2 linked regions of the Lepisosteus oculatus genome follow. The protein of the gene in region 2 purifies or fractionates together with the protein of the main gene of each other region. This does not show direct contact. Links are inferred from orthologs where the notes say so. Each region holds a gene or a part of one and is shown on either strand. Other genes may lie near its edges.

The links.
Region 1: the proteins of lztr1 (region 2) and rit1 purify together in Homo sapiens (affinity purification with mass spectrometry; 3 studies listed by BioGRID and IntAct, counting the BioPlex papers as one, with this or other methods). This does not show direct contact. The link is inferred for Lepisosteus oculatus from reciprocal best matches to the Homo sapiens genes LZTR1 and RIT1.

The regions. Positions count from the first base shown.
Region 1 is NC_090722.1:6,442,430-6,451,540, reverse strand, and holds the start of rit1 (GTP-binding protein Rit1), read left to right. Parts: upstream 1-5,339; 5' UTR 5,340-5,476; intron 5,477-8,847; 5' UTR 8,848-8,946; coding exon 8,947-9,040; intron 9,041-9,111. Other genes in the region: syt11a (synaptotagmin-11a), read left to right, coding at 357-477, 673-983.
Region 2 is NC_090717.1:5,505,697-5,514,765, forward strand, and holds the start of lztr1 (leucine-zipper-like transcriptional regulator 1), read left to right. Parts: upstream 1-5,348; 5' UTR 5,349-5,690; coding exon 5,691-5,860; intron 5,861-6,248; coding exon 6,249-6,311; intron 6,312-6,392; coding exon 6,393-6,449; intron 6,450-6,614; coding exon 6,615-6,694; intron 6,695-7,153; coding exon 7,154-7,262; intron 7,263-7,960; coding exon 7,961-8,044; intron 8,045-8,146; coding exon 8,147-8,204; intron 8,205-8,681; coding exon 8,682-8,821; intron 8,822-9,069. Other genes in the region: cldn26 (putative claudin-24), read right to left, coding at 897-1,547. UniProt on the Homo sapiens protein: Substrate-specific adapter of a BCR (BTB-CUL3-RBX1) E3 ubiquitin-protein ligase complex that mediates ubiquitination of Ras (K-Ras/KRAS, N-Ras/NRAS and H-Ras/HRAS).

The sequences.
Region 1 (9,111 bases), on a different chromosome or scaffold from region 2:
CACACACACACACGGCCCCATCGCTGTGGGGTCACTCAGCTCTCACTGCTCTCTCCTCCACTTTCAAAAGTTCACTTACAGCCCTGGGCTGCCTCCTACAGCGTGTTGCCATGGAGACGCTGATCCTCAGTGCAGGAATCTGCAGCTACAGAGAGAGAGGAGCAGGAGCAGGAGCAGGGAGAGAGGAGCAGGAGCAGGGAGAGAGAGAGGAAAGAATGAGAATTAGATAGTTGAGGAAAAGTGTGTTTTGATGCTGTCTCTCCTGTCCTCGCAGTGTGTCAGTGTGTTATAACGCTGTCTCTCCTGTCCTCGCAGTGTGTCAGTGTGTTATAACGCTGTCTCTCCTGTCTTTCCAGTGTGTCAGTCGGGGGGAATTACTGGTGTCTCTCTCCTATCAGCCGGTCACCCACAGGCTGAGTGTGGTGGTGCTGAAGGCCAAACACCTGCCGAAGATGGATATCACCGGTCTGTCTGGCAGTGAGTATCGCCTGAGCCGAGCCCCAGATCTACACACAGCCTGATCTCACTGAGCTTCACTCCACCGTACTGTGCTTTTACCCTGATCTCACCATGAAGTTTTTGAACAATTCTCACTCTCTCCTTCCTCTCCCTGTTTCTCCGTCACTCTCTCCCCCCTCTCTCTCTCTCTCTCTGTCCCCCCTCTCCGCCCAGACCCCTACGTCAAGGTCAATGTCTTCTACGGCCGCAAGCGCATCGCCAAGAAGAAGACTCACGTCAAGAAGTGCACGCTCAACCCCGTCTTCAACGAGTCCTTCATCTACGACATCCCGGCCGAGCTGCTGCCGGACATCTCCCTGGAGTTCCTGGTCATCGACTTCGACCGCACCACCAAGAACGAGGTGGTGGGCCGCGTGGTGCTGGGGGCACACAGCCCCTGCCCCTCTGGCGCCACCCACTGGCGGGAGGTCTACGACAACCCCCGGCGGCAGGTCGCCAAGTGGCACAGCCTCAGCGAGTACTAGGGGCCCCAGGGATGGTGGGGGGGCGGGGGGGGGGGGGGGGGGGTGAGTGGGGGAAGGGAGGTCGAGGGAAGGACAGAAAGAGGTGCGCCCTCTGGTGGCCGAAAGCAGCAACTACAACGACGATAACCAAGATGGCTGCCTGTTTCCTTGCCCAGAGCCTGAGGCCCTTGACTTGTACAGCGAGCAGCTGGCTAAGAGGAGAAACAGAGATGCGAATAGGAATTCAACCGCAGGTCTGGGGAGCGGGAGGGAGCCCGCCAAAATTCTGAAACCACAACAGGGTGGGAGGGAAAAACTGAAAGTTCACCGAGGAAAAGGCAAACGCGCTGGAGGGGGGCGTCTCCAACCCTGGACTGGCACACCTCGGAACCGCCGATCGGCTGCTCTTCCCCAAGCAGGACGAGAGCGCCCCCCTGCGCCCCAGCTCGGACCCCCTCCTCGCCCCGCTCCCTTCTCGGGTTTACTGCATGCCTGAGCAGAGCCCGAGTCACAGACTGCACAGCGAGAGGGAAGGAGGAGCACCCGGAGGACGGACGGACCCCCCAGGGCACCAGGGGGGAGGAGGGGGGTTCAGGGGGCGTGGGGGGGTGAGGTGTATATACGGATTGGGAACCCTGACCCAGCTTGGTTTTTTTGTAAACGTTCTGCATCACCCCTCCCCTCCGCCCACCCCACCTATCAGCCACTAGCTCCTTTAAATCAGGAGGGGGGTCCCCCCTCGCGCAGGGTCGGGGTCACAGTCCAGCAGGGCCCTTGAGGGGTCTCACTCACCCATCAACAGGACAGGAAGCTGCTCTGACAGCGGGTCAGGAAACTCCAGATGAGGGCCGGATCTCTTCGGTGGTTCCCCAGCTGCTGGTGAAGTAGAACTAGCACCCCCCTGTTGGACTGGGGCCCCTGGGGGACCCTAGTTAGGTTAGGGCCCCCCGATTCAGAGGTTAGTTCTACACTATGTGCTCTTTTTTTTAAAGAAATAATTTGGAGTGCTATATACAGTTGTCCGTTTGCATTATACATTAACCAGAGAGATTTACAGGATAGTTAGAAATAACAGTGCATGTGTCCGTGAGGGAATCTTTGACCTATAGGTGTCCCCAGCTTGGTCTTCACACCTTTGCAAATATTGAGCCATAAGTGATGCTGCCGAGTGGAGGCAGACAGCAGTGCCGTTTCTCCAGAAACACAGACACAGGCACTGTGTCGGGGTGGGAATATTACTGCACTGTCACAATGTCACAGAGCTGTTTTTGTTTAAAATAATATATATATAGGAAATTATTTGCAAAGAGATAATGTCCGTCTTGTTGTTCACCAATGTTAAAGTTACTGTACGTTAAATGTTCCTGTTGTCATGCAAAGAAGAATTTTGGCAGAGGAGAGTCTGTCTGCTTGAGCAGTTAAAGAGCCGGGTCACACTGTAACCCTACAGTCCAGAGATCACTGGTCCAGTCTGGGTCACACTGTAACCCTACAGTCCAGAGATCACTGATCCAGTCTGGGTCACACTGTAACCCTACAGTCCAGAGATCACTGGTCCAGTCTGGGCCGGGTCACACTGTAACCCTACAGTCCAGAGATCACTGGTCCAGTCTGGGTCACACTGTTACCCTACAGTACAGAGATCACTGGTCCAGTCTGGGCCGGGTAACACTGTAACCCTACAGTCCAGAGATCACTGGTCCAGTCTGGGTCACACTGTAACCCTACAGTCCAGAGATCACTGGTCCAGTCTGGGCCAGGTCACACTGTAACCCCACAGTCCAGAGATCACTGGTCCAGTCTGGGCCGGGTCACACTGTAACCCTACAGTCCAGAGGTCACTGGTCCAGTCTGGGCCAGGTCACACTGTAACCCTACAGTCCAGAGGTCACCGGTCCAGTCTGGACGAGTGAGAGAGCCCTGTGTACGTGGGCATTTCTTTCCTCTCCAGAGAGTCCAGCGTGCTCTGGGAAGGCAGTAGAGGTGTTTGTGCTGCCCTTCAGTCATTTACAGTGCATCGATTTAAAGCGATATCCGTTTACAAGGGGGTCAGACGCTGGGGGTTGGGGGGTAGAGTTGTTTGTACTGCCCTCTTGAAAAGCTGGGCAAGTTGTACATACTGTAATATAGGAGGCTGAAACCCAGCTACTGTTACCAAAAAAATGGTCTGTAATGCCAGAACTGCGTCCCAATGAAGAAGATACAGATCCTCTGTCTCCTAGGTCCAGTGTATATAGAAAAAGAACATTCCTTTCTAATGATCACAGTGATGCCGTCATTCCAATTAAAGTTGGCCTGTAGGGGGCGTGCTCTGGTCGGCAGGCGGGATTCGGGCTTGAGGCAGGCCAGCACCGGTTCTGTCTGGGGCTGTCGGAACGTTTCAGGGTTCCAGGGAATCCGAGGGCACGGCACTGGCACACCCCGAAGAGCAGGGTCACCTCGGCGCGTCTTTTCTCCCTCACAAGAGCACTCTGGTGTATCGGCGCACTCAGACTCTCCTCGGGGTTCAGCTCAGAGAGAGGAGGGCGGTAGGCAAGAGCGCCGTCCCCCATCGCCTCGTTCTTTTAAAATGCAGAATCGCTAGTTGCTGATCTATATCCCCCCCCGATTTGGGAAGCGCCGTGTCTCAGCTCGCAGCTACGAACCCTGTGTCTGCACACGGGAGAGAGTGAAGAAGTGCAGGCAGGCACCTCCCACCCACCTGCCCCCCAGCCAATCGTCTTTTAACACGTCCCAGGCAGTACCGCCCCCCAGTCAAGGTGCCAGCTCTGATTGGAGGACAGACATGTCCTTCACTGACAGCACTTGCTTGCAAATTCCCACCAGGCCACAGGGGGCACTGTGTCACCAAGAGGCTGACTGATCTCTCCCTGCCCTCATTCATTCCGCTACGTGGGGAATTCTGGCCTGGGGCTCCTCCCATCGCCGGCATTACCCTCAGAGCTTTCTTCCACAAGATATCCATTCAGGAAGATATCAGCCGCCACCACCCATCACGCTCAAACCCCTGTCCAGCTCCAGCTGAGTGGGCTCTCTCTTTCGTTTCCTGTGGGATGCAGAGAGCCCACACTTTCCCCTTCAACTCCCTTTCATTCCTGTTAGGAAGGGGGAAAAGAGGAGGAGATCGGCTCCCAGGAACGGGGGTGGGGGGCGTTTTCATGTTTCACTTTCTTATCTCTTGTTTGGGAGGGGGGACAGGAGGCCCGTCCCCCCCACCCCACCCCACCCCTCGGGAAACGTCACTCCCGTCTGCTCGCTTGTACAGCTGAACAAACTGAAACACAGAACTGGGAAAACTGGAGAACGGAAAATGACTTAAATAACTCCATATCAATGATAATTCCAAGTAAATAACTTCTATGTGGAAATAAATGATAAAAACGTAACCTGAACTGTGTTTAAACTTGCATAATGCCATAAAGTCTATGCTGATATATTACACTAATGCTAACTGTATGTTGAATTTGTTAAAACACATTGTGCAAATAAAGACTGATACACCCAGAGCCCTGCAGTGTCACTGCTTTCTCCTTGACGAGCCCAGATGTGCGTCCTGCCCTGCAAACAGCTGGAGCTGTCCCTAACCCTAACGCCCACAATACTTAGTGACACACTAATGCCTCAATATTAAGTAACATGCTGACACCCCAATATTTAGTGACACGTTAACCCCCCCTTTAGACTAAGGTGAAGGGTGACCATCTTCCCTCTCAGAAGACCTGCTCGTCAGCACTGTGACTCCTCCTCTCTCTCAGCACCTGCATTTAAAACCGACGACAGGAGGCACTTTACCCAGAGGGTGGTGAGGGTGGCACCAGCTGCCCGGCCATGGTGTTGAAGCCGATACCCCAGATCCTTCGAGACACAGCCGGATGACATCCTGGGATTAATGAACTACTGAGCAACCAAACTGGCCAAGTGGCTCCCCTAGGCTGTAACCTTTCTGATGTTCCAGGGACAAGCACACAGGCAGGTAGACAGACAGACAAGCCTGTATTGACAGACTGAGATAAACACAGAGACCGATAGATAAGGTTGTAATAACAGGCTGAGACTGAGAAACAAACAGGAATGGAGAGACAGACAGATAGACAAGCATGGATTGACAGAGTTACACAGATAAACACAGACAGATAGACAAGCATGGATCGTCAGGCTGAGACAGACACACACAGACACACAGCTCCCCCAGTTTGGAAACCCCTCCCACGCCCGCTCTCCTGCAAACGACAGACACCAAGCGGCTCCCCAGCCGGGCGAGCCCCGGAGCCGCCGATGACGGATTTCGAGTCAGCCCCGATCTGGGGCCTCCCTTTCCGGGGTTGCAGAACCGGGCGGGCGCTAAGACCCGGAACATGCTCTGCCCATCTCTCTCTCTGTGTGTTTACTGCTTGGGGCTCCCTGTGCCTGGAGTGTCGCGGTCGACTTGCTTTTCTGGAAACACGACAGTAATTACCAATTAAGAAACAGCTCACAGAGATCAGGAGCATGAGGCAGAGGGATCAGTAGTCCGGGTAAGAGTTTACGGATTTGGCATGCACACGTTTTTAAAAGAAACCTTGCTGTAGCCCGGGCTACAAGAAAGTTTCACTGAACCTCCCTTCTCACAGTTGACGCGGGAGAGAGCTGCGACAAACTTCGCGCATCTGAACAACCTACATGTTTTTGTAGGGTAGATCTTAACATCTTTGTATTGCGATTAATGTGCCATCAGAGAACGGTAAACGACCGCGGTTACGCGTTTTTTTTTAATGTTCTTGTAAACTGTTGGTAGTTCCTCGATGAAGTTTTCACAGTTCTCCTTAAAAGGTTAGATTTGTCTTTGAAACTAAAAAAAAACCAACTCATCGGTTTCTGTCAGTTGACGTCAAGAGTAACCGATACGAAGTGGTATTGTGCCCAATATCTTATAACAAAATGGGATCTTTAAATATACAGCTAAACACGAAATAGTTCCGAGAACGTGCGAACACGCAATGACGTGTCGTATTTAAACCATCCCCTTTTCTAAACAAAAAAAACCGTCTGTAAGTAATTTAAATCGTAAGTTTTCAATACAGTTCACCAAAACACCTCGGATGTTTTCAATAATTAAACAGTTTGCTGAAAATAAATGTGGTTTCTCGTTGTTTTGTAAAACATACACGGATTGTCTTTGAATTTAAAGGTATTTTTCTGGCTTTACTACACTCGGCGTTTTTCTTTAGTGTTGTGAGAACAGAAACCGCTTTTCAACTTCGAAAATAACTGTGGTAACTCGCTTCTGTGCAGCCATTCTGTCGACCCTTTACTGTTGTTCAAATGTATTTTAACAGTGCGGGTGAGACCGGTTATTTTCGTCAGCTCGAAATAAACTGTACATATTTATAGTTTAGCGTGAAAAGACAAAAGGAAGTAAAACTGCCAATTCCACATCATGAGCACATTTGTTAAATCGTGTGACTAATCTATAAATGATGTATGAAGGCCTAACGCTTGTCCCAAGCCTCGGGAATTTCCTAGGTCTAAAGTCCGAAGCGTGGTTCTTTAGCGATGGTAAAATTGGAGAACATCCGCCGGGCGAAGGGAGCATTCCAGTTTTTCCTCCCCTCACCCAGAACGTAACATAACACAGACAACTGCTGTTAAATTTAAAATCAGCAACTAAATGACACGGAACCTGATTAATTAGTTATGGTAAAGACGGTACGGTAGATGCATTTTTTATTGGAACAGGCTTGTGAGGAATCATAAAGGAGAGACGTAATACCAAAGTGACGCAGTATGTAAATCTTTCGCCTTATGCTTTATAAGCAAATCAGGCAGAGTACATTCAGGAACATGGTTACCTGCTTCTCACAGGGTACCTGTCGGACAGGTGTTGCATTAGCCAGTTACCAGAGGAAGCTTTCAGCTCATCTGCTTCTGCTCCATCTGCTTGGGTGCTCAGTAGCAAATCGGTCCCAAGATTTCGTCCGGCTGTTCCTTGAACAAAGCCTTGATATGGGCTGTGACAACATGGCTGAACAGCCTGTTCCAGACCCCCGCTGCTCTTTGAGTACAGTAGTACCTCCCGTCCTGATTAGAGGGGACCTCGTCCAGCTGTTCCTTGAACAAAGCCTTGATATGGGCTGTGACAACATGGCTGAACAGCCTGTTCCAGACCCCCGCTGCTCTTTGAGTACAGTAGTACCTCCCGTCCTGATTAGAGGGGACCTCGTCCAGCTGTTCCTTGAACAAAGCCTTGATATGGGCTGTGACAACATGGCTGAACAGCCTGTTCCAGACCCCCGCTACTCTTTGAGTACAGTAGTACCTCCCGTCCTGATTAGAGGGGACCTCGTCCAGCTGTTCCTTGGACAAAGCCTGGGTTCTGCCTGGGCAGCCTGTTCCAGAGCTCACTTGCTGTATTCTTCTCTAATGAATTCTATGGTAGAGGCTGTGGGTGTAAGCTTTTCCCAAGTCCAACAGCGGCGCTGGGAAGCGTTGTACGGTTTCTTCATGGCCGATCTGATGCCAGCACTCTGTGACCTCTAATAGCAAGATCCAGGAATGGGGAAGTTTTGTCAAACGCGTGATCGTGTGTGCTTGCACGAGGCACACGCGTGTGTCCGTCTGTGTGTGTCCGCACTGTCCCGTCATGCGCTGCCCACGACACCGTGCACGCACACACCCCTCGCTGGCCGCTGCGAGGTCACATGCCCTCCCCCCCCGTGTGCGTGCTGCTGCTAAAATTAAACACTTCCTCCTCCGGGCAGGGCGGCGAGTGGGGCTTGTGGTTCTGACACATCTGCTGGTGTTGAGTGGTGGGCCTTCTGAGTCAGCGCTGTCCTCGCTGACGGGGAGAGGGCAGAAAGCCGACGGGGGTCGTCAGTAATTATAATACTTCCTTACTCTTATCTAGTGCTTTTCTGATTGCTCCACTCCAAGCGCTTTACAGGTAATGGGGTCCCCTCCACCACCACCAGTGTGTGGCCCCACCTGGATGATGCACCAGTACACTCCACACACAGCAGCTCTCAGTGGGGAGGAGAGCAGAGTGATGGAGCCAGTTCAGAGAGGGGGATTAGTAGGAGGCCATGACTGGTAAGGGGCAGAGGAAAATTTGGCCAAGACACCAGGATAACATCGCTACTCTTTTCGAGAAACACCCTGGGATTTTTAATAACCACAGAGAGTCTGGACCACTGTTTTATGGTTCTTATCAGAAGAACAGCACCTTTATTACAGTATAGTGTCCCCGTCACTGTACTGGGGCATTAGGACCCACACAGACTGCAGGTTGAGCGCCTCCTACTGGTCCCACTAACACCTCTTCCAGCAGCAACCTCAGTTTTCCCAGGAGTCTCCCCTCCAGAGATGGATGCTGAGCGTCAGTGGGCTGCCAGCTGGGAGTTGCAGGGTGATATGGCTGCTAGTTGGCTCATCAGCGAACACACATCGCCTGTGGCAGGAGCGGTGTTTGTTTGTGGCTGCTCCTTTTTAGAGCTCGGTGTTGTGCAACAGTTGACGTCGCCTCTGCTCGCGCTGCGCCCATCTCTCTCCTCCCGCTGTCTCAGCCACCGTCTTCATCCCCCTCCCTGCTCCTCCTCTTCCTCCAATCTCTCTGTGCCCCCCTGAGTCTGGGGGTGGACCCTGCCTCTCTGGTCTGATTCCATTTTGTTCCCCCCCCCCAAACGTGGTGACCCCACACTGTGCCCAAGGAAGAGTTTGACACTCTTCCTTGTACCTGCACGCCATTTTTCAATGCGCCGCCCCCTGAAATCCATTCTGTGCTTTGACTCAATGTCCCGATTTTCTTCTGCTGCTTCCCCAGCTCCGAAACGTCTCCGAGTTGCCTCTTCCTGCTCGGTCCTGCGTGTATCGGGAGCCTCCCTGGTGTTCAGTGCTCACTGCCTCTCTCCAGGTGCAGGGTGTGCTCGCCGCTCCACGCTTGCCGGGCTGCGTTGCCGTGGGCCTGCTGCTGACCGGTGACGCTCCCTGTCCAGGCTGCAGGGGCGTGGCGATGGAGTCGGGCCGGACCCCGGGGGGCGCCGCGGGGGGGCCGTCCCGCGAGTACAAGCTGGTGATGCTGGGAGAGGGAGGCGTGGGTAAAAGTGGTGAGTACTGGGAGTGCTTTCTCTCCGTCTCTGTCCGGAGTGCTCTCGCACTCTCCCCTCACTCCGGCGCG
Region 2 (9,069 bases):
CTTGTGTTAATTTCTATACAATATTTATTTGTTTTAATAATGTAAATGATTAGACCATGCAAACAAAATGAATGCTTTGTGCAATAAACTGTAATTTGTGAAAATGTTAACAGACATGATTTCTATTAACAATAATGTGTTTATTGTGCAGATAGATTCAAAGTAATTCTACCAAGGAAGACATCATAATTTACCTACAGATACTGTCAAAATACTTTATATATCTCACTAAGCACTTGGCTTACTGAGCTGTACAGAGAAATAATGCAATATTAATTATTGATGTGTGAAATGGACTGTTTATTTTTAAAACAACTCTTACAAGTAGTGCATGTTAAATTTTATATCTATGGCTTTAAAACATTTTAAAGTATAACTATCGTATTTGCATATTGATATTAATGAAATTACATGCTAGATTTCTTTCTTTTTCCTGATTTTTTCATCAAAAATTGCAATTGGTTTTAACAATCATCAAGAATACCCTGAATATGATCAAGAACATCACAGTTACGGTTGATGCACATTCAGAATAAAGTCCTAGTTATCATTTACATATTCCAAGTTACAAAATCTTCAAGGGGAATGTAAAAGAACCAATAGCACAAAATGTATAGATGTTTTAAAACTATGGAAATCCTTCCTGGCACATTTCCAGTAAAAAGAGTTCGGGAGCACCACACTGGAAATTCAACATTTTGGCTGAAATTAATTTCTTAAACCTAACTAGAAATAGTTGTAAAGAATAAAATAAGACTTCCTGACACATCTTAAACAGGTCTGCTTACGTTCTTTTTACTTCCTCTTGATTCCACACACCATTACTTAAATGTTAAGCTAGGTCCCCCTTCCCCTTAAACAGAAATATACGATAAGAGCAGATAATAAAATCCAGACTATAACACCTCTGTCTTTAAGTATTGCGGTTTCTTTTGGGTTGTCATGCTGGATGAGAGCACTTGTGAGTGGATGTTGTTTCTCATGCAGAGCGACACGAACAAGAACGACCCTCCAAGAACAAGAAACAGCCCAGAGAACCATCCTGCAAAAAGAGCCTCCCCAAACTCCCACCGGGGAACGATTTCAGGAACGTTGTCATCCCAGAATTCCACCACAGTCACATAAGCCACCAAGGAGATGGGATAAAGTGTAGTGATCCCCGAAATCCAGGACAGCACCCCTCCAAGGATGAGGAGCTTCTTCTTGACGTGCTCTTTGCCCTCTCCCAGATTTATGCCCTCCAGTCCAAAAAAGGCCACAGAGACACTCAGGAGCCCTGTTCCCATGGAAAAGATCATCAAGACCCTGGAAGCTATGACACCTGAGGGCAGAGACAGAAAGGAGTCAAAGGCTTTGCACTGCAGACCCACTTCGTCTTGGAAAATGCAGGTGTGCCACAGCCCCTCGTACCAGTTCTCCATTTCATTGAGCTCCGCGTTGAGGGTTTTCCAAAGAGGCAGAAAAGTGACCACACAGGTTATGACAAAGCCCACGAAGGAGACAAAAAAAGCCATCCTCTCCACTAGTTTGGAAGTCAACAACACCATTGTCTATCAGTTCAGCTCCAGTCTAGAGAACAGCTTGTGAGCTGCAGCAAGCACAGGCTCTGCAGTGGTAATGACCTGGTAGGGCTCCTAATCAAGTACCTTATAAATGCACCTTATAAATGCTGGGTAATCCCTAAGCTTGAGCATAACAACAGACATACTGTTTTGTAAAAGCGATAAATATCATTATAGGGAACAATGAGCACTGTTTTAGATGAAACCAGATATGTCCAAGAGAGAACGGACGGCAGTGCACACACAAGATGTTTTCAAGGCAAAGGAAACATGATCAAGTAAAGAATGGGGAAACTCAAAGAAAGTTGTGGGGAACGAATTGGTCTAAAACGTCAACATATAGGCTGTAAGTCATTTCATGTAGATCTTGTGTTATGAACTAATACTCATTAAAAAGGTTTAATTAGTGAATTAAATGGTATAATGTGTTTTACAGATTATACTGATAGCTACTGCTGAAGGTTCAGATTACAAGCCTTTCTATTAAACAAAAAACTAACGTCTCAGCTGTCCTCTGGATTAATGGTAAAACCTGATACAAAAACTGTGACGCCAAGTACTCCTGATATTTTTTATATTGTAGTATGCTATTACAGTATGACCTGTAATGTCTCCATTCAGACCACACATTTGCTTTTCGAGCCAAAACTTAGTGCATAATTTTTTGAGGCAAGCTTCCGAAATCAGATACTTTTAAGGATAACTATATCGGCTGCTCATACAATGAAGATTTATTGTACTCATACTATTATTTCGTTCTTCATAATGTCTTCGATTCCCCTCCCTCCCTTCAAAAGAGCGTAATTCTAGGTTTCAATCTTAAACAGCTGGTAAAACACTGTATAGTCTGCCACAATAATAGTCTGTTATCTATGTTCATTGAAACGGTTATACAGGGAAAACGTTGTCTCTAGCTCCCTCGTATGGCTTTTGGGAGTTTCATTTTTGCCCTTTTTTGCAACTATTTAACTTGTGTTTAATTGCTGTTTCTCTTAGTATTAGATTTTCTTGAGACAGACTTTGGGGTGGAACTGGATAATTAATTTCCAAAGGCTAGATGTCTAGATGTCTCCTGAATTTTATCAGATTTGTTGAGAGTACTTCTTCCCATTCTTCTTAAAACAATTAGATGAGTTCATCCATTTTTTGTTACATTTTCAAGGTTATTACTAAAATTATAATAAGGCATATTACTTTAGCCTTGTACTTAAATGGCAAATTTTCAACTGAGGTTATTTAGTGTAACTTTATCTCACTATGATATATGAGGAAACTGAAGCTGCTGAAAGGCACTGACTAGTTTCTGCTCAGAAAGGTCAAAGATTAATCTAGTCGTCTATCTTATTTTAAGCTCTATGATCACTCAGCATGAGGACCATTTTCTCTTAAAATACTTGTTTGCAGATATAAGATCACTTAAGATACGATTACTTTATTGGCCATATGCAATTTCTTGTATTAGGAATTTGTCTTTCCGCATACCCCAACTTGCTCTCCATGAGACACACAGACAGAGAGAGAAGCTTGGGGTCAGGGCGCAGGGTCAGCCATTTATACAGCGCCTGTCAGGTGTGCCAAGGGAAAAGGGTAGGAAAATTGACCCTGTGCGGAGGCAGAGAGAGAAAAAACTGGATTCCTTAGGCGAACGTAATCCAAATCGGGAGGCTAGAGCGAGGACAGAGATCAGGAGCAAGGGGTCAGAAATCCAGGTGATCACAAGAACAACGAGAGGTCGGACTAAGTTGCGAATAGGACGTGTAGCTTTGGCTGAGGAAACCTCAATAGTGAGAGAGGACAAGTTGCAGAGTGGGAGTTTAAGTAGCCAAAGATGAGCGAAGTTGATTAGTAATCGGATGCCCGTGGGAATGCAACGATGTCTGTGTGCGGTTTGTGACAGCACCCCTGAAGCACTTGGGGTTAAAGGCCTCGCTCAGGGGCCCAACGGAGTAGGATTCCTCTACTGGCCGTGGGATTCGAACCAGCAACCTTCCAGCCACAAGCACAGATCCTTAGCCACAGAACCACCGCTTTAATATGTTGGTGATTCAGAGCTTGTTTCCAAAGTCATACTTAATCTTGCACTTTGGGATTTGCTATGAAGTGAAGAAGTTGGTAAGGGGTCTGAGACATAAAAGGTCTAGAGGTCTTGCAGATTGTCATTGTTTATAAAAGGTGTCGGTTTGTTGTTGACTACTGTTCTGCATACTGAGCACATCTTCCTAGCACTTTGACATGCAAACCTATGTACAGAGCGTTCATGATGGCCATGATGGCATCTTATTGTCTAGCCTAATCATGCATTAATGTGCAGATTGCCTAGTTTGGTAATGTGCTTCTAGGCTGTTCTCCAAAATTAGCTTGGCAGTCCTGTGTGTCCAAGCATTCTCCTCTCAAAGATCTCATTCTGCATCATTTCGCATTGCATTGACCACACAACTGACCCTGGGAGTAAGGTTGACCTAATAGCACAACATTTTATCAATGTCAGTTAAGACCAACCGCTCTGCCCCTCCATCATTCAAACACGATTTGAGCATCCTTATTTTCATTCATTATTATCAAGTTTTGGTTTGGTTCTTTTTGGTAAATATACTTACTTAATTTTTTTTTTTGGAAAACTATCTTGACATGATCTGCTTAAGTTTTTTATCTCTCCTACCACTGATATTCCCGTGTGAGTGCCTCGTTTCATCCTTGCACACTGTGGTGAGGGGAGTGCTTCCCGGGTTAGACAGCACTAATCTAATTATGCATGTGCAGAACTAGATCGCCTATACTCTTTGAACTCAGGATAAAGATAATGCTGTGCTTCACTCACAAGTTTCTGAGGTTTTCTCTGTGGGAATTACGCTCCTGTCACACTGATCCATGCATGACAAGAAAAAAGCAAAAGCATGACAGCAAAAAACAGATCGGTAACACTATAAACATATTTGCAAAAAAAAATGTATTTACCATCCTGAATAACAAAACAACCATGCGGTGTCAATGCTTTAGAATAGGCAAAAAAGTGTAAGGGGATTGTTCATATCTAAATGGTGGTTTCACATTTTTTTCATTTTTTTTCTTTTGAGTAATTGATTTGCTCTGCCTGTTTATACCGTCTGTGCAATAAGAGCGTCCTTATCTTATAGCGGGAATAAGTACTTGTAACAAAATTATGACTATTACAAGAGGCTCATTATCTTTCCTGTCAATCGTCAGTAACAGTGACTGATACTGGAAGAGAGTTGATTCGTAAAAGATGACTCTTAAAATGACTCTACAGCCTTCATCTGTTCGCTATCTATTTGCCTTCAATGCAAATAGCAATTCTTCAGAGAAACAAATAATTAAGTCTAAATTTAATTTTAAACACATCACACTGAAAATGGTGGATACGTTTTAGCTTCAGCTGTTTTTCTGAAAAAAAAAACAGTATTTTACAGATGGGAGTTGTTTTACTTTTCTACGTATCAACTAGATTTAATGTTTATGTATTCAGCGTTCGATCATTAAACGAAAGCAACCTAATACATTAAGCTCTTCAAGTAGCATCTTCCCTGCAAAAGTAACACGTAAGATGCTACTTGAAGTTTATCAATGACAATTACATGCCTTCTCCGAATTCGACTTGCTCCCAGTGTGCATTGGACTTTGCCAGCTAACCGAATTGATTTCTGGGGTTTGTTGTCGTTTATTGTTTAGTCTACGCATCAATTGCAAATGGAACTTGAGACACATAAACTACAATACCCAGGGATCTCTTTTTCGCAAGAGGTGTGGCGTGGTAGTGTAATGGCTGTTTATTTGGTGTGTGTTGCGTGTTTTTCTTTTCTGCTACATTTGTAACGTTTTTTCCAGTAAAATAATGTAGCGTTTGCTACATTGTTCCGAAGGACTTGCTTCGTTTTTGTATTTACTTTTACCAGTCAAACAAGTTACATTCGTCTTGATTTTCTACTTAAAGTCAGCTTTAATTTTTTTTTTTTGCTTTTTGGTGCAGTGGTGCATCGCAGAAACCACTGTGTCTTGTAGACGTGGTCCCTAAAACTACGTTTATGAAGGGACCTTCGCTAGCACGACAGTAAATCCGTTTTTAATACTGGGGTTTCATTGACTGACCGTGTCGTGTTATGCGGCGGTTGAATGTCATGGTTTCCGGGAACAATGTCTTGCAAGTCTAAAGTCGCCCCGAGTGTTGATTTTGACCACAGCTGCTCGGACAGTGTCGAATACCTGACCCTGAACTTTGGGCCGATTGAGACCGTCCATCGCTGGAGGAGACTCCCACCCTGTGATGAGTTTGTGGGTGCTAGGTAAAACAAAATACAACTTTCTGTAAATCCTGTAGGTGCAGATCTTATTAAATGTCTAACGGTGCGGTTGCACTCTCACGCAGACCTCACAGAGATATGTTCGTAAAAAAAAATGTTTTTTTTAAGTATGGAGATTTGCTTTTGAACTGCAAAACCGTCATGTGCATGTGATTTCCGAAAGCTTCGCGAGTCTTGTTTTACACGGATTTTGATATGTGCATTATGATGTCAGTGGTGTATTTGAACGTACAGTGCTGTAAGATTTTTAAATTATATTCAGAGCTCATATCAGTTTTCTTTACTACATTTTACTGCAATGCTGCACCGCGTCTTAACTGAGTACAGTACCGTGTAATCATTCCGGGCTTTCGCTTCTGAATTTTGACAGGCGCAGTAAGCACACAGTTGTGGCCTACAAGGATGCAATTTACGTGTTCGGAGGAGACAATGGGTGGGTGATATTTAATGTGTCGTAATTTTAGCATGCGACTTGGGTGAAAGCAAGTATGAACATTTGTTTCGTTCCCAACAGAAAGAACATGCTGAATGATCTGTTGCGGTTTGATGTCAAGGACTGCTCCTGGTGCAGGTAATCCCTGCTTCTCCATTCCAGGAGAATGCGTTTATACACCGTTTATGTCAACAGATAACTTTTTTTCCCCCCTCCACGATGAACTTTATGACCCATTTTATTTTAAAGTGGCTTTTGGGTCTGCATCTTGGTTTGGTCATTTGTTTTTCTTCTTCTTGCCAGGGCTTTTACGACTGGTTCACCCCCTGCTCCCAGATATCACCATTCAGCTGTAGTACATGGAAGCAGCATGTTTGTTTTTGGTGAGGCAGCTTACCCCTCTATCACAGTTTATATGTTCATGATGCAGTATTGACGAGGCATAATTAAGGCAAAATGTGTTTCATGGGGGATTTAGTGGCACAGTGAGATCAGTTATGGACCTGGGAGGGCTGTCTGCATGATGTTTGTCTGTTCTGTCCCATGTTTGTGTGGGTTTCCTTCCACAATCCAGCAACATACTGGTAGGCTAATTGGCTTCTGAGGAAACTGGCCCCAAATGCGAGAGTCTTTCTGTCCTGCGATGTCTGTGTCCAGGGTGTCCCCTGCCTTGCTCCTGCTTGCCAGCATTATTGGAAGCAGTTAGAAGATGGATATTTGTTTCATTATTATGGTTGTTAAACAAAAAGCGTTTCCATGTCACACGGCTGTCTTATTAATAAACGTATTTGCCTTTTCTTCTGGTGCTGGTGATGCGTAACCGTACGGTCTCAAATTTCCAGGTGGCTACACTGGGGACATCTACTCCAACTCCAACCTGAAGAATAAAAATGATCTTTTTGAGTACAAGTTTGCTACAGGCCAGTGGACGGAATGGAAGGTAGAGGGAAGGTACAGTAGTACATCAGTTCAAAACTGTTATAAATGGAGCTCAAAATGAGCGTTTGGGAGGGAAGACAACATCGAAGGTCTGTCAACCTCAGCTGTACATCATTTGTAGTCAAACCTGACATCATTTTCTTTCATAAAGACTATAACTATTAGATGTAACCTGTTACTCTGCTTTGCAAACGTTTTTACATCCCCTCTCCACTGCATCTCCACCTGTGTTGCTGCCCCTTGGGGCCCCACTCCTCACTCTGCAAGGGGTTCCAGCTTCCTTGTGGCCAGGAGGTCAGCAAGCCAGGTTAAGCCGAATTGTGATGAAGACACTCTGGAGATGTTTCACACACTTAATTCCTGGGTGTTGTTGTTCCTCGTGAATGTATTTTCCGTGCAGTGTTATCAATCATTGTTCTGTTGATGTGTGTTCCCTCAAAGCCAGCTTTTTTTCTTTACATCAGCATAGCATTAAGGCATTCAGAGTTAGATACAAGAATGAAGTAATTGTTACCTTTAATGAGGCATGTAATTCTTGGCCAGATCAAAAAATCATCTTCATAAGAGAGAAAAACAATCGGGTTTTCATACATTGATTTAAGAAAGTAAACTAGTCATGCATTTTTATTTTGCCTTGCATAGAAGCTGAAGAGAGCATAATTCTGTTGTGTTTCTGAAACAGTATCACCTCTCTGGTTTCCTTTCTGCAGGTTGCCTGTTGCCAGATCAGCTCACGGAGCAACAGTGTACAGTGATAAACTCTGGATTTTTGCTGGGTATGATGGTAATGCAAGGTAAATAATTTTCATCTTGTCTTAGACCATTCGCGATAATTCTGTTTATAATATCTTTGTTTTTTTAAGGCATACACTAATTTATTTCTTGTAATACTCCAGGCTAAGTGACATGTGGACGATCAGCCTTCAGGACCGTGAGCAAGCATGCTGGGAAGAGGTTAGTTTGACATAAAGTGCTATTTTTTGTCCAATAATGTGTACAAAAATAAAGTGAAAGTGTAGATTTTGTTCATTACGGTAAAATGCCAGCGATTTAAGAGGAAACAATAAAACTGTTCATTCTATTGACTCTCTTGGCTCCGTTAAAGATTTTGTAAACTTTTTTTGTTATCCCTTTCTTAAATAGATGTGCAAAAGTGCTCTTTTAATTAGTTCAAGCAATTCCTTGTTTGTCTGGAGGAAAAATAATTCTGAAGCTTTTCTTCACATGGATCCAAGGGACAGTCCTGTTGTCAAAGTGTTTTAAGTCACTGTCATTTTTGTCCTCTGCCAGTCAGTGCACAGGACTTTGTTCTTGTCTGCTGTTGATTTATGACTTGCATATGCAGCAAAAGGGCCCAGACTTGCTCTTTCTTGAAATGTCTTGCATAAACAGGTATTCTGTGAAAATTCTAAAAAATTCTTGTTTTTCCAGATTGAGCAGAGTGGAGAGATTCCCCCCTCATGCTGCAACTTTCCTGTGGCGGTGTGCCGGGACAAGATGTTCGTTTTCTCTGGTCAGAGTGGAGCGAAGATCACTAACAACCTGTTTCAGTTTGAATTCAAGGACAAAGTGTAAGTTAGAAATCCTCAATAAGCATAAGTGCTGGCCTTAAAGAAGCTACCTCAATATCTTTTAACATTCAGTGTTCATAATTCATTCTTTTCATTGAGCAAAAAATCATCTTACCTCTGACATTTCCAGTGCTTCTTTACCTACTGGTAACAAGTCAGTATTTCCTTTGTACAGCTGATACAGAAGATTTTCTAAAAAAATGTAAATGTAAATCTTTAATTGTTATCGTGTGATTATACAGTAAGCT